Elephas maximus indicus: one gene and its partners. The protein of the gene in region 3 purifies or fractionates together with the protein of the main gene of each other region. This does not show direct contact. Links are inferred from orthologs where the notes say so. Each region holds a gene or a part of one and is shown on either strand. Other genes may lie near its edges. The genes, in order: CEP97, CCP110 and CEP76.

Region 1 (7,232 bases), on a different chromosome or scaffold from region 3:
GTTATCTTAGCAACACAACATTTTGCCAACATAAAATGTTTTCTTTTTTTAACAATTCTTCTTTTTCTAGTCCACCCTAGATGTAGTACATACGTTTTCATCATTATGAGAAACTGGTAAGTAAAAATTCAAGACATTTACTGCTTCCCAGGCCTGCAGAGTTATCTTCTATTTGGTGATTTTATTGTTTTGTTTTGTTTAATAATAAACTGGTCCTGTGTAACTATTTCCCCAGAGAATAACACTTACCTGTATTAATCGTCTGCATTTCTCAAGATTTTCCAGTTTAATAATCTGGTTTTTATCCAGAATCAAAGTATGGATATCAGCTTCACAGGGCAAGTTTAGACCTAATTTCTGTAGTCCTTGCCCTGACCAATTGACTACTGAACCTTGAAAAAGAGAAGGGACATTGTTGGAAAACACAAATAAAGCAAATACAACAGCTGAACACAAGGATGAAATTATACTTGCGAAAAACCTATACATTTAGAGTCAGAAAACACTGTTGTTGCTGCTCCGTGGGTCAAGTTGATTCTGATTCATATGAGTAGGATGTCAAGATTCTAAAAGTAAGCCCATCTTGAGTTCAAAATGACCAGACTGAAATTATTCACTTTTCCTTAGAAATAAAACAGTACAACTAGATTTGTGATTTTCTGTTCAAGTTTCTATAACACTTTGGAATTCTGCACATTTATATATGAACTATTACATCTATATGTTATAACTAAATAATAGCTTTTTAAAAAATGAAGTGAAGTTTTTATAAAGATCAACCTGCTTATAACCTAACTTCCAGCATATTACCCAGAACTCAAACTATTTTGAAAACTATAGTTCGGTTCTCTCAGGAAAAAGGCAGCCAAGACAAAGGCTATTAACCAAAAGAAGCCTTTTACTAAGCAAAAGCCTCACCAGCCTTCTTTTTACTCCATAAATGCCTTTGCGCATACTGAGCCAAAATTGCTTTCCTTTCACATTTGGAAGACTATATGGATTATGATCCAAACCAGAACCATTTTCACAGTGAAAGGTGATGCTAAAAATCATATTGTCATATACTGAAATACTGATTCTTAAATTGGTTTTATTTGTGGGCCTATTCCAAAACTATTTTCAAAAATAAAAGTATTTCTTAAAATATAAAAACAACACACCTTGTACATTAAAGCAAAAAAAACTTAACTATATTATTTACACATTAAAAATAAAATTAGCAGAATATATTATCTAAATATTCTACAATATAAATATTAGTTTTGTTGTTCAAGTACTTTAATCATTCAAGTACTTTTTTTTAATTCAAGTACTTTAATCAGTTTTCTTAGCCATATTTCTTTCTACAAATGTGTCCCTAGTGTTTTTTCAGAGGAATATACTTCTTCAATATGGCTTTGTTATTATTGTTATCATAAACTTGTCTGTAAACTTCAAAGTTGCATTTAATCTGAAATTTTTGACAACTTCAAAAAAAAAGTATAGTTAATTCATCTCTAAAATGAGGACAATACACCGATTTCACTAGGTTGTATTAAAAGAGAAGCCATGTGACAAACACTTAGTCCTGTTCCTGGCCCACAAACCATACAGCATTCAATAAAGTAATATAACAGAACGTTCAAATCCTGGCTCCATCGGGTTACTCCACTGTGATATCTTGGGCAAGTTACTTCTTTTGGGCTCACTTGTCTACTCGGTAAAATGGTGATGATAATACCTGCCTTATCATGTAGTTCTACACAAAATGAGATAATGTAACAAAAGCACTTGGAACATCCTCTGGCTCATAAAAATTGCTCTATAAATGTTAACTGCTATTACTGTCAGTAAATTGCCTGGGTGGGCAGAGAAGGTGGAGTTTAACAGAAGTAGATAGCAGTGGGGGGCGGGGCCAGAGAAACTTGTAATTTCAAATTTATACCCAGATTAGGACTGCGAGAAATAATTACGCTAAGATTGCTCCCTGGAAGGTTTCAACGTTTTTCCGCGTCTAAAATGGCGCTTAGCATTTGGGGGGTCATGGACTCCTCTGGGAATCTGATGCAAGCTATGTACTGTCCCAGAAAATGCCCACTCTTTGTTTGCACACCATTCCGAGGGGTTTGCCAGACCTCTTAGAACCATCGGGTCACCTCCCCCCCGCCCCGAACAATTTACAGGTCCCAAATAACGAGCCCCTGGTCTAAGCCCTGGAGATGGGTCCCGACTCCCTGCCCTGACCCCGATCCAAACGGCTGCTGAGGAGCCTCGGAGCGGTAACCAAAACAAAGGAGCTCAGCTCACGCCTTGCGCCCCAAAGAGGTACCTCCCGGCCACAGAGGCACCCACCCCCCGAGCTCTGTTGAGCGGCGACCAAATCCGTTCCCAGGACCCCGTATGCGTAAGGAGGGGTGGGAAACTGGGGGCTCTGGATCACCCCCTCCCCCCCATGTTATCACGGCCACCGTTCCCTTCTAAGGAGGGGTTCAACGTCAGTGTAGGAAAAGGTGTTCCGTGCAGTTTCCTGAACGTTCTAGAAACCGAAGGGAAAGAGGGACATGGCAGCGAAAAAGGAGATCCTGCCAATTTCATTCGCGGCCCCGAAACACAAAGCAAACGTCCAGGAAAAGACACCGCAGCCCCAAACCCACCAACCCCCCGCCCCGGCAGCACGGGAGCCGAGGTGCGCGCGCGCGCGAAGGCCCCTGGGGTCAGTAGTCCCTCGCTTGGCCCTCGCCGGGAGGCCGGAGGGCTGGACAGTGCCTGGTGACTACAACTCCCAGAAGGCAGCGCGCCTCCGCGACGCCCACAGCCGCGCATCAAAAGACCTGGTCCAGAACTGTACAGCTAAACCCGGGCTTCCCCTCTCCACCAGACAACTATTTAATTTGGCTCGGTAAAGTTTGGGACCCAGAGGTAGGGACCGCCTTACCTTCTCCCGAAGGCAAAGCCGCATCGACGCGCGCCACCGCCATACTTCCCGCTTGCTAATAATACCAGGCAACCGTCCTGCGGCCACTCCTGTGGAGCTTGTAGGCAGGAGGAGGGAGCCGGAAACTACAACTCCCAGGATGCACAGCACCCAGAAGACCTAATTGGCTGTTTAAACTTAACGGAGTGAACCCAGGGATTAGAAACTGACCTGTAATGAGCTCCGGAACACTGGTCCACTCCCTCATTTGACAGATGAGCAAACTGCATTATTGGATAATCATTTCATGCCCCTTTTCTAGGTGTTAGCGAAATTTGATACTTTTACCATCGGGATGATTATAAAGAAGCTACTTAATGTAGTCTGAACTTGAGAGCTCGCAGAAGTCTTGTGGGGACAGTCCCCACTATAGGAACGACTTCAGCTGTCTTATGATAGTCAAATAGATACATTTTATAAGAATTTAGCTAAGTAAAAGGATTTAAAGCATATCGAGATAGAAACTTTTTTACAGTATTTTTGAGCGGTTGTTTTCGAGTATTTAACAGAACTTCTGACCTGGAGGTACATTTAATAAGTATGAACCCAGAATTTTTCCAGGAAGTATTCGAAAGAAATTTGAAATGTATATAGTCTCCAAACTGAAGAATTACACTGCCTATGGGGGTCGCAATGAGTCAAAATCGACTCGGGGGCAACCGGTAGTTGGAGGGGGGTTGGCTCACACTTTTATTAGAATTGTTCCTTGCTAAATGGTTTTAAATGGTATGCTTGAACTAGGAACTCAATAAGGTTGTGGCGAAGGACAACTATAATCTTCAGGGAAGATTTGATGGAGGAAGTGAAATCGATCTAGGATTTAAACGTTGAGTAGATGGTTTTTGGGTAGAATCTGAAGTCAAGAAGTAGACAGTTGAAAAAACATGCACATAGGCTGCAGGTGGCCATGAAGCTGTGCTCATAGGAAGTGAGAAACTAACCTGACAGCACCATAGACTATATTAAGGGAGCTTCCACTTTCTACTACTAACTCACTCACTCCCTCTTTTAATCTTTATTCTGATCTCATCTTTTCCTGAAACTGTAATCTCCAAAGTCTCTGATAATTTCTCTTTGGGAAAATCCAGTAACTCATCCTTTTAGATTTCCAGGCACTTGATTCTATAAGCATTCCCTCCTTCCTTGGTTCTCCTCCTATCTGACTGCACCTGCCTTCACTGTTTTTGCTTTTACTGTTTCGTACTGTTTTAGTCTGAAGACAAATGTCCTAGTTCTGAAGAGGAAATTGAGTAGGATTTTTTTTTCCCCTGTAACCTAGAGACCCTTTACCTAGAGAGCACAGACTTACTATATATGAATACAGCAAGCCTCAGTGCTGCCTCCTTTTAACTCTTGTTCCCTGGAATGAGCAGTAAGGATTGAGGAGAGTCTCTAGCCCAAAGAGAGAGGGTTTACAATTCACTCCACTTTAGAGGCTAACGACTTGGGAGAGGAGTTCCTGCAAGTCTGGAGGGTACTTGAAGAGCACAGGATCCCACAAGTTTACAGCAATAACTGAAGCAGAGTTTTGATCGGTTCATCTGCTCTGGTGTTCTGAGCAAAGAGCCAAAGGACTCCTTTTCTGGGGCTAACCAATTATAATCATTAATCTTGAAGAGAGTGAACAGGTGTTCCCAGGGGCAGATTACCCAGTAAGCAAGGTAAGCATGGGCTTATTTGTGCTTACAAATAATTTTTTTTTTTAAATTGGTCACTACAAATTACCAAATAAGCACAAATAAGCCCATGCTTACCTTGCTTACTGGGTGAACTGTCCTTGTGAGGGACTGTAAATTTGAAAAGAGGCCTTGATTCTCTAAGAAGGTGCTGTGAGTTTGAGAGAAGGACAGATTCCAGCCATAACTAGAAACAAAAACTGTTTACAGATGATATAGTAAGCAAGGTAAGAACAGAGCTTACCTTGCCTATTGGATAATCCACCCCGGGTGTTCCTGAGCAAGGCCCCATGTGCCCAAGTGACCCAGCCACCCTTTAAAGTGACAGCACAGAAACTCTTTTGTACTTCAGATACAGCTTTTACATCAAAAATCAAATTACTACACTTAAACTAAATTGCATTGTCTTCTATATATGTTAACACTTACAAGCCCCAACCAATTTAGGAGATTCTAATAACCAACACCACTATGAACCCCTTGGCAAGGTAGCATTTCTTTGACAGGCCCAGGCCCACAAGGAAGACTTTCCTTTTTGCCAGCACAGCATACCTGATCCCTGCTACAGCTGATCGCCTGACTCGTCTCCCCCATCTCTAATTCATCCTGCCCACTGTTACTGGCATGATCAAGGTAAAACAATACCTTTCATCATGTTACTCTTTTCCTCAAACATATCCCACTTGAAATTCAACTTCCAAAAACCACCATAATCTGGCCTCACCCTATTTCCCACTGCTAGTTTTCATTAGGTGTTTTTGAGTGAGGGATTGACATAATGAAACTTGTGTTTTAGAAGGGTTAAACTGATCGTGTAGCAGGATGGACAAGAAGGTACAGACAATCGTGGCAGGAAGGAGACTGTTGTAATGGTGAGTGGTAACCTTCAACAAAGCAGCTTCAGTGGAGTGTTGGGACATAAGTTAGGTAAGATGAATATAAGAGAGGAGGAAGGCAGGGTACTGAAACCACAGGTTTGGACAGTGCAGTTTACCTTGTCGAAATAAAGGTGGTTTTCTAATCAGGATGAGAACTTGCATGTGAAAGAAGTATAATAATAACTTCGGAGTTTTTAAGTTTTAAAACTAGGATATTATTAATATGAAGAATTTTATCATTGTAAAGCTTTTGAAAATGTGCCAGTTTTTCTTACAGTAAAAAAAAATCCTTATTTATGCAAAAGTTTAGGTGGATAAAATTGAACATTTTCTTCTCTGGTTAGTATTTATTGGTAGCCTTTTATGGTTTGGCTTCCTTATCTATGATCTCCTGAACGGAAGGAGTTATTGCCACTATGAAATGTCTATCTATGGGTTATCTACCCGTCGCCGTCAAGTTGATTCCAACTCATAGTGACCTATAGGACGGAGTAGAACTGCCCCATAGGGTTTCCAAGGCTGTAATCTTTACAGAAGCGAACTGCCACATCTTTCTTCCGTGGAGCAGCTGGTGGGCTCCAACCGTAGACCTTTTGGTTAGCAGCCAGGCATTTTAACCACTGTGCCACCAGAGCTCCGCAGGTTATCTAGAAGCCCCAAATGAGTATTCAATTTCCTAATATTATTATCATAATTATGATTTATCTTTTTTTATGTGCTAGGCTTTGTAATACCTATGTTGCATATATTACCTCTAATTTTCACAAAATCACTGCAAGAAGATCCCAAGAAGTTAGGGTTGCCAGCTGTTTAATATGAGTATCCTTAAAGCCACTCACCTATGGTATTTCTGTTACAGCACTAGGAAACTAAGACACAGTGTTTTGCAGATCTCAATGCAAGGGAAGAAAAGTTTCCATATTTCAAAATCCATTTAACTGTGCAATTGAGGAGCTTTTACCTAACATTCAATTGGAAGTGATTAATCCGATATGCTAACAAAGCAATCAAGAGAATAGTCGAATTCTGTAATTGCCTTCCAAGAGATTAATGTGTTCGATTAAAAGTATATCCCTTGAATTGACATCAGAATTGGGCGGTACTGTGTGAAGATGAAGGGTATAGGACCTCCTCACAGCTCAGGATCAACAGATGAACATTTGCAACCCATTTTGATGATAAAAAATAATAATAATAATAGGGAATAATAATTTTGAACCCCAATTAAGCAAAATGTTACTCACCACTCCAAAAAAAGAATTTTCTTCTCGTTGGCATACCAGGATTACAAAAATATATTTATGTTATATTGCAAATATGTTTACATATAATACATCATAATATCGATGTCTAATTTCATCAATGACAATTTTGTGGAAATTATTTTCTCTTATTAAATAAGTACCTATGTGATATTCTTGATTTCGCCACTTAGCCTGCAAAGCCTAAAGTATTTCCTATCTGGCCCTTTACAGAAAACATTTTCTGAGCCCTGTTCCGTTGTTAGCTGCTGTCAGTCTGCTCAGACTCACGGCGACCTTGTGTATAACAGAAGGAAACGTTGCCTGGTCCTGCACCATCCTCACGATCATTGGTGTGTTTAAATCCATTGTTGCAGCTATCATGTCAGTCCATGTCATTGAGGGCTTCCCTTGTTTTCAGTGGTTCTCTACTTTACCATGATGTCCTTGTTTAGTGCTTGGTCCTTCCTGATGACGTATCCAG
Region 2 (7,811 bases), on a different chromosome or scaffold from region 3:
AGCAAAGCATGAAATTTTGTTTTAAAGGTCAAGGAAACCTAAATAAAATATCTTTGTTAAGGATTGAATTGTGTCCCCCCAAAATACGAGTTATAATTCCTAACTTCTATGCCTGTGATGGAAACCCTGGCGGTGTAGTGGTTAAGTGCTACAGCTGCTAACCAAAGCCTCGGCAGTTTGAATCCACCAGGTGTTTCTTGGAAACTCTATGGGGCAGGTCTACCCTGTCCTATAGGGTCGCTATGAGTCAGAATCAACTCGATGGCACTGGGTTTATGCCTGTGATTGGAGCCCTGGTGGTGCAGTGGTTAACAGCTTGGCTGCTGACCAAAAAGCCAGCAGTTTGGACCCACCAGCCACTCCTTGGAAACCCTACGGAGCAGTTCTACTCTGTTCTATAGGGTCACTATGAGTCAGAATCCACTCAATGGCAATTTTTTTTTAATGCCTGTGGTTATAATCTTATCCGAGAATGGGCTGTCTTTGTTATGTTAATGAGGCAGGATTAGTGTAGGGTGTGTCCTGAGTCAATCTACTTTGAGATATAAGAGAGATTAAACAAGCAAGAGAGAGAAGCAGAGATGAGGTAAGAGAGATGCCAAGCCACATGAAGATCACCCAGGAGCGAGGCTCAAAAGAGACAAGGACCTTCCTCCAGAGCTGACAAAGAACGCCTTCCTCTAGAGCCAGGACTTCTAGCCTCCTAAACTGTGGGAGAAAACAAATTTCTGTTTGTTAAAGTCCTCCACTTGTGGTATTCTGTTAAAGCAGCAGTAGTTAACTAAGACAACATTTATGGCAATAGTTTGATTTTCTTTTAACAACATCATGTAAATATACCTCATTGCTTCAGAAAGTTAAATTCACGTCCCTTAAACAGTGCATGCTGTCCTTCACGTTTGTAGCATATTACAGCATAATTTACAGCACATGGTAGTGTTTCAAACATTCAAATAAAGGTACTAATTTAGAGATCATGGAAACTACCAAATGATCCTAGAGCAGGAGTGGATCCTTAGGAGATGGCACCTCAGGATCTCTCAGCTTCAGAGGGGCCATCCCTGACTATCCCATCTATACATTAGTGCCTCACTCACTATCACATTACCCTGCTGTCTCCCAGTTTTCACAGCACTTACCACTGTCTGAAATTATCTTACTTCCTTGGCTTTTTCTGTCTTCCTCCACCAAAATGTAAGCTCCATAAGCACAGGTCCCTTCTCAGTCTTGCTCACCACTGAATCCCCGTTACGTAGTGTCTGCACACATTAGGTACTCGATAAAAGTATGGAATAAATGAATTAGGGTAATTAGCTCAAACAATAAGGTAAACCAGAAAAAGAGGAATACCAAAGAAGTAAGAAGGGAATTTAGAGACAGTAGTTTCATGTGTGACTCTGTTCTCAGAGAAACTGGTACCTCTAAAGTGCAAAGGCAACCATTTAAAAAATGAGCCGTCCGTACCCATACGATTAAGGATGAGGGCACAACATTTCTCACACCACAATTACCACTGTCAGCCAGGCTGTATTTTAAGGGTGCATTTGACTACAAGGCCACCCAGCCACAAATCTACTGCCCCATACTTTACCATCAGGCATTACTGGTCCACTTCCATTAATAATCTGTCAGTTGCAACAAGTTCAGACATGCTTTGTCTTCTCCATTTATACCATACAAGTATTACTGACCCTTCTCCACTTGAGCCTCTTAGCAAACCCCATATACTCAGGGCTCTACTATCTGCACCTCACCAGTACTCTGCCAAAATTGTCACTGATGGGAATGACAAAAGTAACAGAACAGCTCCTGCCTTGTTTTTCAGATCTGAGCTGATGGTTTACCCACCCATCAGTCCTCCACAAGATGTAAACTCCTGGTCCAGGCAGTAAGGGTGAGGTTTCTCATTCAGATACATACTGACTAGCTGTCTGAGTCACTTACCGTCTCCGTGCCTCGGTTTCTTCATTTGTAAAACAGGGATAATCAGAGTATCCCTCTCAAAGGGATTTTGTGAGGATTCAATGAGATAATGCATGTAGGGCAATTAGCATAGTGAAGGACATCAGAAACCATCAAAAATGGGGGCTGCTTTAATTATGAAGATGATGATGACTATGAATTTCTGGAAGGCAGCGACAGTGCTTGATTCCTGGTAAGATTCAAACGTAACTTAAAAAATATGGAAAGGGGGACAACAGCTTCCTCATTTCGCTGCTTCCAGACCCCTCTGCCCATCAAATCAATCTCTAGGCGCCCTACTTAATTGCCTAAATTGGAGGCAGGGAACTGGTCCCACACCCAGATGAGAATAGCAAAGGGTGGGAACCACCTAGCAGCATCAGGGGCAATCAAGAGAATTTGCTTTATTATCCTTACGCCCCCGAGAGTCGCAAAGGCAAAGTAAACAGCGCTCCTAGGGCCTTTGGTTGTGGCAACCGGCGTTCAGAAATGGCCAGTGCAGCCCCTGGGGGCCCCTCCCTCTCCAGCACCGTGGGAGAAGAAACACGGCCCCGAACAGTTCTATCAACAGGAGGTGATTTTTCGGCTTTGGGCTGGGTTGGGCAGCGTTTATTTACCAGGGACCTGTGCCCTCACCCAAACGCCCCGCGCCCACCTCACCCAGCTCCTCAGACAAGTTCCCAAAGGCCCATCAGGCGGTGCCAGCATCCGAGCATCACCTCCGCGCCCGGTGCCGCCGGCCCCCCAGGCTGTAGCCTCCTCACACCCGAAGCCTTTCAGGGGCTCGCGGCCCCGGAGCCCAGCACCTGCCCTCGGGCTCAGTGTGGAGCCCGCCCTCAGCTCCTCAGGGCGCCAGTTCCGTCTCTCCCGGTAGTCGCTCAGCCCTGACCAGCTCAGGGTCGAGCCCCCTCCTCACGCACACACCTGGTCCCTCACAGCCCCAACAGCTTTTCTTTCCTCGCTCCGGGCCTCGTCAGGAAGCACGTAGTTCAGATGGCACTGACAGAGTGCAGCTTGATCCAACGCCGCCTTCTCCTCCTCCTCCCCGCCATATTACGGGTCTCAAGCGGCAACGCGGGAACCTGGCAACCGCCGCCGCCGCCACTGCCCGGACTCCACCTTCCAGGGCAGGCACTTCCGGTGCTTGCTTCCCCGGCCGTTGGAAGGAGCGGGTCCTAGAAAAACTACAATCCCCAAGGTGCATTGCGCGCCAGGGTACGCGCCCTCGCCCAATGATGGAGGGCGTAGACTTTATGGCAAGCAGGGTGCACGCTGGGAGACGTGGTCTTCATTATAAGTAAAGCCCTTTGCCGTGGAGTAGACTCGGACCCATAACGACAGTGTAGGACGGGCTAGAACTACCCCATTGGGTTTCCAAGGAGCGCCTGGTGGATTGGAACTGCCGACTTTTTGTCTGGCAGCCATAGCTCTTAACCACGGCCACCAGGGTTTCCACTTTAAGTAAAGGCCTCTAAAATTATAATTTATTACAGTAGGAACGCTCCTAAGGGTCTGAAGGCCTCTGAAAAGTTCCTTAAAATTACCATTTTTTACTTTATGTATAGAGATGAAACTCTTGCTGTATGGTCATTGGAAAACATACAATATTCACCAAAATTATTTCTCTGTAGATAAAATATTGCTGAATCCACAGATGCCAGCGCTAAGCCCTAAGACATCCCTACCCTTTTACAAATCAGTGGGAAAAGATGTCCAAGAAGAAAGTTAACAGATTCAAGATGACATAAAAAGCCCTAAATCTTTTGCCAAAGTTCTCTATCTAAACAGTATGGCACCAATTTTTCAAAATATGATTTAGTGGCCAATTTCTCTCCTCTGTCCCTGGGTGATGCAGTTAACTTGCTTGGCTGCTAACCAAAAGGCTGGAGGTTTGAGTTCACCCAGAGGCGCCTCAGAAGAAAGGCCTGGCAAGCTGCTCCTGAAAAATCAGCCTTTGAAAACCCTATGGCGCAAAGTTCTACTATGGCATACATGAAGTTGCCATAAATTAGAGGTGACCCTACAGCAAATTTTTTTTTCCCCCACCCCCTAACTTGGCTATATCTTCTGTCTCTCTTACTCCTCCTCCTCCAATGCCTATTTTTGCACAAGTGAAATGGAGATTTTACCTATATCAACGTATGACAAGGTTGGAAACCCTGGTTAAGAGCTACGGCTGCTAACCATAATGGTCGGCAGTTCGAATCCACCAGGTGCTCCTTGGAAACCATGTGGGGCAGTTCTACTCTGACCTATAAGGTCGCTGTGAGTGGGAATCAACTCGATGTCATCGGGTTTAGCTTTGGTTTGGTTATGACAAAGTCATTGTGGATAACAGTTGAAATAATCTTTACACAATGCCTACATAAACCCCAATTATTGACTTCTTTAGGAGAAGTAGGATTGGAAGGAGTAGTAGCAGTGGAAAAGTCACAGGCCTAAAAATGGAATGGCTTGATGTCTGTCCTGACTCTACCATTAAAGCTGCTCCATTGACTTCACTGCTCCTGGCCTCAGTTTCCTCGTCCATGAGAGTGATTAAAATCACTTCCAGCTTTATAATCTGACTGTGCTTCTTTTGCTATGTTCTTTCATTTCCTCAGAATCTGAAAATCGCTTGTTAAGTTGACTGAAACCAGACTTCTGAAATAGTACCTACCTATTGAGGCTGTTTGAGAGTAAATCAGATAATGCATACAAAGCGTTTGCTGGGCACAGTACCTGGGACACGGTAAATGCTCGCTCTATAAATGATAGCTCTACTTACTAACATTATTTTTCCCAATTAAGACGTAAGCTCCACACGAGCAAGGACCCTGTCGGTCCTGCTCTTATGCCGCGTCCCCAGGACCTGGATGTGTGTTGGGCGCATCTTGAATTTAACTGAATAAATGATTAGGCTAAGCGTCCTGCCCCTTGCCTCAGTTTCCTCCCAGGTAGAATGAAGGCGTCACTAAGATCCCTTCTAGCCGTACAACCGTACGACGACTCTTCTATCCCGCTTCTTCTCTTCTACCAAGTCTCAAAGTCCATGTTAAGGTCTCCACCTCAGAAAATCCAAAAGTGACTTTGGAACGTGAACCCGGGGCCAGGGCCCGCCTCCGTTGCCATGGCAGCGGCTCCGCCCGGCGCTCTGGAGATCCCGGGCTCTGATTGGCTAGACTTCCGTCTCTTTCTCCGGATGTATCTGTCGCCGCCATTGTGCGGCACTGGTCCCCTCGGAAGGTGCCAGCTGGGGCAAACGCCTCGGGTTCTCACCCTCGCCTGCCGCTCTCCTGTCTGGGGAGCCCGGCGGGTCCGGGACTCCCGTCCTTGCCGGTGCTGGCGCCGGCATGTGGCTGTGGGAGGAGCAGGGGGGCCTCCTGGGTCCCTTCTCCTTCCTGCTGCTGCTGCTGCTGCTGGCGACGCGCAGCCCCTTCAATGCCTGCCTCCTCACCGGCGGCCTCTACGTCCTGCTGCGCCTCTTCAGCTTTGAGCCAGTGCCCTCCCTCAGGGCCTTGCAGGTGCTCAAGCCCCGGGGCCGCGTCTCCGCTATCGCCCACCGCGGTGGCGGCCACGACGCGCCTGAGAACACCCTGGCGGCCATCCGACAGGTGAGCCCCCCACGCCTTTCGCCCCTCAGCTCCACCTGGAAGCTTGGGCTTCTGTTTGACCTTCCAAAGGTCCCCAGTCTCAGGATAGCCTTCCCGGTTACCTGCTAGCCCTCAAGTAATGCATTACTATGGCCCTTGATCCTTCCCAGTATCTGGGACTCGCCGGGCTTCAGGTATTTATAGAATACTTAAACAAATATTTATAGAACGCCTGCCGACTGCCAGGCACAGGGGATACAGCCATGAACAGGGCCGACAGGGTCCCTGCCTTTACGGAGCTTGCATTGGAGTAGGGAAGACAGGCCTTAAATAAGTAAATGAGATACTTTTAATAGGGCAAAAAGTGCACTGAAGAAATACGGTAATGGGGTAAAGAATGACTGGAAGTTAGTATATGTGATATATTTAGATAGTAGTATTTGAATGGAAACTGGTATTATGAGAAGAAGCCAGCCCTGGGACTTGGGGAAAAAGTGTTCCAGGCAAAGGGAACAGCAAGTGCAAAAGCTCTGAGGTGTTAGTGATCTTTCTTGAGTGTCCAGGGAATAGAGAAGGCTGTTGAAGGCCTGAACTCAAGAAACAGAACAAAGGCTGATGTGTGAATGAAGTAGGAAATGTGGCCAGGTCACAAAGAGTCTTGGTCAATAGTTGAGCTTATTCTAAATGGAACAACCTTCACAGGAATGTGGTGCTTTGCTTGTCCTCTGACTTTGTCACCTCCTTATAGCACATGCACGCACATACATCCCCAAAGCATATATTTGAACTCACACAACAACCCTGGCAGGCTCACTGATCAATTTTTACAAGGCACTCACTTCTGAGACTGTTGATCTCTCCCAGCTCCTGGCAGTCTCCTGTCTTCATAATAATGACAGCTTGCACAATAAAAGAGCTTTTCAGTTGACCACACACTTTTACATCTGTGGAAATATATCTGATCCTCTCATTCCTTTGAGACATGACTTTCACATTAAATGGGTGGGAAAACTGAGACTCAAATGCATACATCTTCCTCCAGATTTCAGCTTTCTGATTCCAAGCCCAGTGCTCTTTGTCATAGTTTAGAATGTGTTCCAGGATGTAAAAACTTGAACCTTCCTTTCTTTATCCAGCTAGGGACAGACAGTATTGTGTAATGAACAAGTTACTTAAGCTTCTGTGCCCCAGTCAGGGTCATGACTAGGGTGTGGCAAGCAAGGCGTGTGAGTTGGCATCTAATGTTGCACTGTGGGCACCTCTCCTCACCCTGGTCACAGCCCTAACCGCAGTTTTCCCATCTGTAAAATGGGAATAATATTGATATCTACCTAATTAAAAATAATTGTCATTGAGTCAATTCCAGTTCATGGTGACCCCTTGTATGTCAGAGTAAAACTGCTCCACGAGGTTTTCACTGGCTGATTTTTTGGAAGTAGGTCACAGGCCTTTTTTTGAGGCATCTCTGGGTAGATTCGAACTTCCAGCTTTCTGTTAGCAGCCAAGTAAGTTAACCTTTTACATCACCCAGGGACTTCATCTGTCTAATAGGTTGCAAGGATTCAATGAGGCAATCCACATAAACTGCCTGTCCCGTGGTAAGAACTCCACAAATATAAGCTATTCTGTCAGGAATCTAAAGTTAGCATAACTCTTTAAAATTGCTGTGGTGTAAACTAAACAAAAAACTAAATGTGACAAGAGAAGGAGATCAGGCAACCTTTGAGTCAGTGCAGGGTATCTCAGTTTTTGTATTTTTAAACCAAGTTAGTGGCACAATGGTTAAACACTTGACTGCTAACCAAAAAGTTGGTGGTTCAAACCCACCCAGAGACTCCATGGGAGAAAAGACCTGGAGATCTGCTCAGGTAAAGTTTGTTGTTGTTAGGTGCTGTGGAGTGGATTTCGACTCATAGTGATCCCATATGACCAAGAAAAACTTCCCTATAGGGTTTCCTAGGCTATAATCTTTATGGGAGCAGATCACCAGGTCTTTTCTCCCACAGAACCACTGGGTGGGTTTGAACTGCCAACCTTTTGGTTAGCAACTAAGCGCCTGACCGTTGTACCACCCTAGAAAACCCTGTGATGCAGTTCTGCTCTATCACATGGGGTCTCTATGAATCGGAATCACAGCACGTAAGAACAACAAACTTCTATTATATTTCTCTCCCCTTGGTTCTCTTGTGATGGAAAGGAGACTGTAGAGTAGCTTTTCTAGCTTCCGTTTAAAAATAAATCTAAAGATATTGAAGAATATTATTTTACATTGTAAAC
Region 3 (7,933 bases):
TGGGGTTTCCAAGGAGCACCTGGTGGATTCAAACCAATGACCTTCTGGTTAGTAGCCGGAGCTCTTAACCACTATGCCACAGGGAAATCCTTTATTTTCCTAGCATAATTAAAACAATGAAAATAAAATTTTACGTAAAATATAATTTGTAACTCCTAAAAATCTAACACTAAGAAATTGTTTTCAAACAAACAGAAGTGTTAAATACAAACCCTTAATACTTAAAGAAAGCTAAACTTTTTCTAAACCTCATACAACATTTGGTTTATGAATGGTCATGAGCAGGTTTTTACAAGGAAGTGTAATTCACACAGCAGAAGCTGTTACTAGGTCATTTTTTAATAATAAATAGGTTTCTAAACCTCAAAAACTAAAAAAGGATGCTGTATTAAACACTTTATTCCTTCGTGTATTATAAAATCCATTCCAATTTTTACATCAGGTTATCCAGGTATTGAGGTCACAGCTTCTCATTATTGCCTCATTTTCAAAAGGCCTACTTACTAATTATGTACTGAGAGGCTATCACTCTGCTACTGACCTATTTGTAGGAAAAGATTTGAGGGCTCTTAAGCAGTCACACTATTTTCTTAAAGAAATTTATAATTTGTTAGTCATAGAAAATTCACTCCCCAAAAAATGCATTTATTTTAAAAATAAGCTCGTCAATCTAAAAAAAATTACACTATAATCTTAATGAAAAAGAACTCTGCTATGGTGACTAAGATGCACCTGACCTAAGCCATGATATTTTCAACAGGCTCATATGCATGTGAAAGCTGGACAATGAATACCGAAGACTGAAGAACTGATGCCTTTGAGTTATGGCAAAGAATACTAAATATACCATGGACTCCCAGAAGAATGAACAAGTCTGTCTTGGAAGAAATACAGCCAGAGTGCTCCCTGGAAGCCAGGAGGCAAGACTTCATCTCCTGTGCTTAGGACATGTTATCAGAAGGGACCAGTCCCTGCAGAAGGACATCATGCTTGGCAGACCAGAAGGTCAGCCAAAAAGAGGAAGACCTTCAGTGAGATGGACTGACACAGTGGCTGCAACAATGGGCTCAAACATATCAAAGATTATAAGGATGGCACAGGACCAGCATTTCATTCTGTTATACATAAGGTCGTTATGAGTCTGAACCAACTGGATGGCACCTAATAACATGATGAAGTAATGTGACTAAAATATGTGCATTTAAAATTGTAGACCTGGAGGATAACGAGAAAATTCTGTCAATATACAGACAGGAATGTGGAATCCCCTCCAATTTCACTGATATTATAGCAAATAATACTATTTGCTATATTCGTAGAGCTACCTTATACTTGAAAAAAAAAAATACTTGAAACTAGGGTATTACTAGACAAAAAGGTTTAAAGCGGTTTTATTAAAAGGAGGCCCCAAATATGCACCCTATAAACATTGTCAAGCATGAGAACAGACTTACACTGTCAACTTTTTTTCCCTAAATCATTACTCACAGTAACAAAATTCAGTTCCTTCATCACATCATCAATGATTCCTCTACGTCTAAGGGCTTTGATCAAATCTTCTGTTGATAACTGTTGTTGATCAGGTGCCAGTTCTTCACGTATAGTCTCAGCAAGGATTTCTCGTATTCTGCCGTGGACATCCATCTACGTAGAAAACTCACGTTACAATTTTTTTTCTCCTGAAGAGCACATGTATCAAAGCAGCCAAATATTACCAATTAACCAGTTTCTTTCTAAAATACTAAATCAAAGTAATAAAGAAAAAAACGGGGAACAATCAGAACAAAATTAAGGAGAATCTTGACACAACTTCAAAACCGTAACTAACGTCACTGATCAATCTGTGTGGAAATTGTCAAACGGGAACCTAACTTGCTGTGTAAACTTTCACCAAAAACACAATAAAATGTTATTAAAAAAAAAAATAACAGGGATGTTAGAGACTAAACTTAGGAAATTTGGGTTTCAGGCTTCTCCAGTTAATTGTAAACTTGTTACCACAATTCAGTGAAAACAAGGGCAAGTGGTTTCGTTGTTTTTAAGAAAAAAAAAAAAAGATGAAATTTTCAGTACAAATTTTTTAGAGTCTCTACTGGTCATCTGTTACTTTTTCCGCACAAACAAGACTCAAGTAAAATATGTATCTTTTAAAAAGAAATACAGTAACATCAAAAGAACCTGGAGTAGATAAATCAACGTTTGAATTTATTTTCAACTTATTAGAGGTGTAACCTCGTGCCAACTTATTTACCCTTCCTGAACCTGCTTCCTCGTCTATAACATGAGGAAAGTATTGCCCTCTCACAGGTTGGTGGTCAGGATTCGATGACAGATGCTCAACACCCAGCACAAAGCCTGGCGTACAAGTGCACAACACATGGCAGCTTTTATTAATATTTCAAATGCCCGGTTTTTTCAAATCAGCTTATTGCATTCAGTTGAGTGTCCCGAACATTCCGTGTTCTCCTGCTCCAAAGCATCACAAATATTTTTGTTACAGACTTTAGCGCCTTCTCTTCTATGACTTTTTGAGAACTGCTGGTTTAAGCTACCCGCTCAATTTCAACGGCACCCTCGTGTTTCACCCTTAAACCGATTCTGACTTTTCAAGTCTGAGTATAAACACGGGATCCAAGCGCAGGTTTGACTTCCTGCAGCGACTCGACGGACACTTCCTGTTCACCACGGTCCCCCAGAACCCGACCCGTCCGTCAGCGCAGCCCGGCACTCCCGCTTCCTCAGCGAGTCTCTGTCAGCGAGGCCAGAAAGCTCTCCTGGCTGCAAACCCAAGCCTCGCCCCTCCGACCTCTGCCCCTCCGACCTCTGCCCCTCCGACCTCTGCCCCTCCGACCTCTGCCGCTCCGACCTCTGCCCCTCCGACCTCTGCCGCTCCGACCTCTGCTCCCCCGACCTCTCCCGCTCCGACCTCTGCCGCTCCGACCTCTGCTCCCACGGCCCGGCCCGAACCCCGAGGACCGACACTGGCACGGAGGAGCCCGCGCGCCCTCACCTTGTTCAGCTGCTGGTGGATGAGCTGCTTCAGCTCCGAGGCTTTCTCCGCGGGCAGGGACATGTCGCCGGCCGCGCCTCGCCACCGCTCCTACCCGGCCTGGGAGTCCCAACGGCCGGCGTTCCGCCGAACCACTACCGCGACAGCGCCTCCGAACGACGACCGCGTCAGCTCCCCGCGCGCGCTCTAAGGCCGGACGGGGCGGGGCGGGGCGGGGCGGGGCGGGGCGGGGCGGGGCGGGGCGTCTGGGGCGGAGCCGGGGAGCGGAGCGGCGAGCCCCGGGGTGCCCCCAGCGCCGCCTGAGCGGCCGGGAGCGGGTGTCCCCGGGCCCCCGCAGCCTCCACACACCAGCCGATGAGCCTTTCCAGGGTCTCCGAACGTGTTGCCCTTCCGTTTCCCGTTCCCTCGCAGTTTCTTCCCGCCTTCCGCGCAGGCAGTTAAACTGGAAGGCCTCCGAGGACCTGGCGCCGAGGGGACGCAGGACCCCGCCGGCCCGGCCGCGTTCGAGTCCTGTCTGCTCCTTTCTCCGCGCGTTCCCGCTGTTCCCGCTCCGCGTTCCCGCCGCTCGGGCCGCAGGCAGGTCGACTTCGCCGCCGCCCCCGCTCTGTCCCTTCCTTCAGCCCCACGTTGCGGCCATGTTTGTGCCCTGCGTGGACCCGGCGCCCGAGCTCACGGGCTTCACCCTCTTGATGGTGGGTTCTCTGGCGAGTTCTCGGCGGCCCCGCAGGGCCACGGCCTCCGGAGGCGCCGGCGGCTTCATCCCCCGGGCTCGGGCCGCGCAGGGTCGGGGGAGAGAGGGGCCGTTTCTGTGCAGTTGTCAGCCCTCACTGAAGGGGCAGCAGAGGCTGTCTGTCGCGGGAGGCGGCGGTTCTCGAGAGCCTTCGTGGACCTGTGGGCTTGTGCGAGTCGGTAGTCCGTCTGTTAGCTGTGACACGAGCTGCTGGGCTGCGTGGGTTGTACAGGGTATCGTCCTCAAGTGTACCCTCAGAGGTCTTCCCAGCTACTTCTAGGTCGGTTTTAAGCTAGCAAAGTAATGCTGTTCTCCAGAGGTTCTCTCTGTTAAGAAACCATAAATGTAACCTTAAACCATGTCGTTTACTAGCTTGAATTTAAGCAAATGGGAGTTTACTGTAAAAGTATTAAAATCAGTGGTAGTAATAAAAGTCACTTTTTTGCCAGTAGCTAACACGGTTTTATCGCTTGTGCAGTTGGCCACGTTCATGCAGTGTTTCAGTAAACATTCTGGCACGTACGAATGTTAGGATAAGACTTGTCCACAGGAGTTCGTAGTCTACCTGGAAACGCGTCAGTGGACGAGGGCAGTGAGTGCTGGGGTGCAAGTTTGAAAAGATTGCTGACAGGCCCTAAGACTTGTGGGGAGGAGGAGTGGGCACAGGGCTTTTTCTTCAAATGCTTCCTAAAGAAATTAACGCCCAGAAAGTGAGGTATTGGGGGCTGGGGGGCAGGAATAGGGCATTTCAGGAAAATGGATGTCTACCCCAGAGACACACCGGCATGGGGGAGCTGGAGGATTTGGACTGGGAATGACTCATTGAGAGATAATAGGCTGCAGGCCTGTGAGCCCAAGAGACACCTTTGCAGAAGGCGCTGTTGGAAGTGGTGTATGGCTGAAGAGTGAACAGCCGTCCTTTTGTTCATTAAATATCAAGCACATGAAGCCAGAGAGGAGAGTGTTGAAAGAAGGAGAGAATACCTGTTTGTCACAAGTAGGCGAATGTGTAAGACGAGGAAGTGTGCGCTTGGGATTTAGCAACATGTGGGATGTGGGTGGTAACCTTTGCAAACAGTTCTCAGTGGAGAGGAAACCCATGCTGCAGCTTATGGAATGAGTTAGAGGATGTGGAGATTTGTATGTATTCGTTCAGCAATAAAATTCCTGCTCATGTTTCAGAGGACAAAGGTTAGAGGTATTGGCTTTGTGGGGACACAGAAATGAGATAGAGGGGCATGTGAGGACCAGGCAGGGCTGTAGTCTTTGTGGAAGCAGACTGCCACATTTTTCTCCCACGGGGTAGCTGGCAGGTTCAACGTACAGGAGAAAGAGTATAACCAAAGAAACAAAGTCTTGGAGAGGAAAAACGGAACTACTGGAGGTTGCCAGGGTTGATGACAGGTGTGAACAGTGGGAGACCACTGTGAGTGGCCCAGCAAAATAGGATGAAGGCCGGTAAAGAGCAATAGTTGGAAGTAACTCCATTAAAGAGATACTTTAGAGAAAGAATCAATGAAAATCAGTTATGTGTTAGATAGAGCTGGTAAGGGAAGAAGGTTCCTGTTTTAGGTGATCTGGTAAATGGTGTTGCTCTTTTCTGAAATACAAAATATGGGGACAGGTTTGGGCAGTTGTTTAGTTTTATACATGTTGAATGTGGGGTGCCTGTGGCATAACCATGTAGAGATATCCATTAGCTGCTAGAGCTCAAGTAAGTGTTCTCAGCTGTAGGCAGAGATTTCAGTTGGCTGTTTGAAGTCATGGGGATAAGTATGTGTGTGTTTAGTGTGAAAAGGTCACTCTAACCTTTAGATGTGGGCAAAGAAAGTGGTACAAGAAGACCCAAGATTGCTTTTGTACATACCTCACAACTTTCCCACTTCCTAGGATGTTCATTCCCAGGTTGTTGTATGCCTCTCTTCCTTACTCCTTCAGTTCCATAGTAGTCACTTTGCACCTGAAGTGAGTCTTCTTTGACACTCAATTTAAAATTACAAACAACTGCACACAGGGACATATACACTCACGTTATATCCCTTTTCTCTCTTTTATTTTTGCCCATAGTACTTACTACTATATATTTTACCTATTTATTTTGTTTATTGCGGGTAAACCACATCCTCACTAGAAAGGAAGCTCCACAAGGGCAGTAATTTTTTTTCTGATTTTTTTTTTTTTCCATCCCCAATGCCTAGAGCAGCGTTTGACACATAGTAGGTGCTCAGTAAATATTTGGTAAATGAATTGTGTGAAAGGTGGAGGAGGCCTCAGCTGACATCACAGTTATAGATAATGAAAGAGTCAGTATTTAGCTGTGATATACCCAAGCATAAGCGTTCAGTACTAGTACTATGATTATTATTTTCAGTCTAAATTTTAAAAGTGTTGCTAACATTTTATGACTTATCGAATATATCTTTTATGATTTCAGCCAGCAGTATCCGTTGGAAATGTTGGCCAGCTTGCAATAGATCTGATTATTTCCACGCTGAATATGTTTAAGGTTGGTTACTTTTATACCGATTGTCTTGTGCCCATGGTTGGAAACAATCCATATGCAACCACAGAAGAAAACGCAGCAGAACTCAGTATAAATGCTGAGGGTATGTACAACTTGCAGCATGTTTTATTCTACTACAGAGTTGTTTTAAATTAGAAATAGACTCACAGATACTGTTTTGAAGCAAATGTTTACTTAGTGCTGGTTTTGTGCTGTCAGTGAGTATTATGACCCAGTCACATTGCCCTGTTACATTCTGGCTTTAGGTCTTAGCCTTTTTTTGTAAATGGCAGCATTTATGAGGGGTGTAACTGTACTTGTGTCTTTAGATAGAATTTAAGATTTCCTTTTTTTCCCCCCAACATGAATTTTTTTCTCCTTCATCCTCAGTTTTATTTTCTGTTCTTACTGGCACGTGTAATCGTTATCACTCATACAAGGGAAATGTGGCAATGAGAATTCGCCTGGACTCAGTCCTAGTGTTTAAGATGTACTTCTCATCTAAGCCTCCAAGTCGTCTTGTTGCATTGTTATGGAATCCGTAATAAGCTGATTAGGTAGTAAGGCTTAGAGAGAGTGAGTTGCCAAATGCCACTTAGTAAGGGTGGGCTTTTCCTTTAGCATATGTTTCCAAAAGTCCTGATTTCCTCATTGGACATGTCAAGCACGGTTAATAGGGAACACTGTTCACATTGCACTGATGCTGTTGGGCGATTCTGTGAGATAGCACCATGGGAATCAGGGAAAGCTGTGGATCGTGAAGCACAGGAACTCCGTTACTTGGTTTGATGGCCAACTGCTCTATTGGCCTCTCGGTCTTCTGCTTACCATTTTGGGGTGAAAGCCAAAGGTAGTAGAGGAGCCTGAGGGGCCCAAGTGGATTAAAGAGCAGATGAAGAAGCATTTTGTTTTCTGTCAGTCTTATTAACCATGACATTATTCTAACTTTGCAATAAGGAAATGCAGTTTTGAGAAATAACTTTATTATTGAAATTCCTGCAGGGAAGATTAACATGAGATGAATTTCAGTTATTGCATTAAAGGATAAAAGATTTTAGTGAGAGGACTAGAATTCATATAATTTCCACTAATGATAACAGCTGTTTCTTACTGAGCATTTACTGTGAACTGAACACTGTATATTTACATGTATTAATTCATTTAGCCCTCACAGATACTCCATGAGGTAGTTTTATACATGAGGAGACGGTGGCAGAGAGATGATAAGTAAATTGTTCAAGGTCACGTGATTAATAATTGGTGTAGCTGAGTTTGAAATCAAGGCAGCCGGGCCTTGTGAGCTGCCTCTTCACCACGACACTGTCCTCTCCATGCTCGCTCACTCCAGTAAAAGATCCACTTCCTTTTCTCTGACACAGACTAGCAGCAAGTCAACTGTAGTGATAAAGTACTTCGATCCACTTTATTGTTTAAAATGAGGTATTTCAACTGTCAAAATGACATTTCATCCCCAAACATGTAACTATGCATCTCTGAAAGGTAAGAAACATACCTGAAATAACATGACATTTAACAAAGTGAGGCATTTCTTAATAACTTTCTACATGCCATCCATGTTGAAATTACCGCTTTACCACAAAATATCCCTTACATATGTCCAAACCAGAACACAATCTAGGACCCATAGTACATCTGATTGTTGTGTCCTTGAAATCTTTTAGAGTAGTCC

Evidence for each region.
Region 1: the proteins of CEP76 (region 3) and CEP97 purify together in Homo sapiens (co-immunoprecipitation; 4 studies listed by BioGRID and IntAct, with this or other methods). This does not show direct contact. The link is inferred for Elephas maximus indicus from reciprocal best matches to the Homo sapiens genes CEP76 and CEP97.
Region 2: the proteins of CEP76 (region 3) and CCP110 purify together in Homo sapiens (co-immunoprecipitation; 4 studies listed by BioGRID and IntAct, with this or other methods). This does not show direct contact. The link is inferred for Elephas maximus indicus from reciprocal best matches to the Homo sapiens genes CEP76 and CCP110.

Annotation. Positions count from the first base shown.
Region 1 is NC_064836.1:72,578,464-72,585,695, reverse strand, and holds the start of CEP97 (centrosomal protein of 97 kDa), read right to left. Parts: upstream 3,020-7,232; 5' UTR 2,958-3,019; coding exon 2,915-2,957; intron 393-2,914; coding exon 250-392; intron 1-249. UniProt on the Homo sapiens protein: Acts as a key negative regulator of ciliogenesis in collaboration with CCP110 by capping the mother centriole thereby preventing cilia formation. Required for recruitment of CCP110 to the centrosome.
Region 2 is NC_064830.1:79,358,180-79,365,990, reverse strand, and holds the start of CCP110 (centriolar coiled-coil protein of 110 kDa), read right to left. Parts: upstream 3,104-7,811; 5' UTR 2,887-3,103; intron 2,352-2,886; exon of another isoform or gene 1,140-2,351; intron 1-1,139. Other genes in the region: GDE1 (glycerophosphodiester phosphodiesterase 1), read left to right, coding at 5,295-5,555.
Region 3 is NC_064829.1:9,168,730-9,176,662, reverse strand, and holds the start of CEP76 (centrosomal protein of 76 kDa), read right to left. Parts: upstream 3,204-7,933; 5' UTR 3,074-3,203; coding exon 3,011-3,073; intron 1,645-3,010; coding exon 1,489-1,644; intron 1-1,488. Other genes in the region: PSMG2 (proteasome assembly chaperone 2), read left to right, coding at 3,646-3,702, 6,175-6,346. UniProt on the Homo sapiens protein: Centrosomal protein involved in regulation of centriole duplication. Required to limit centriole duplication to once per cell cycle by preventing centriole reduplication.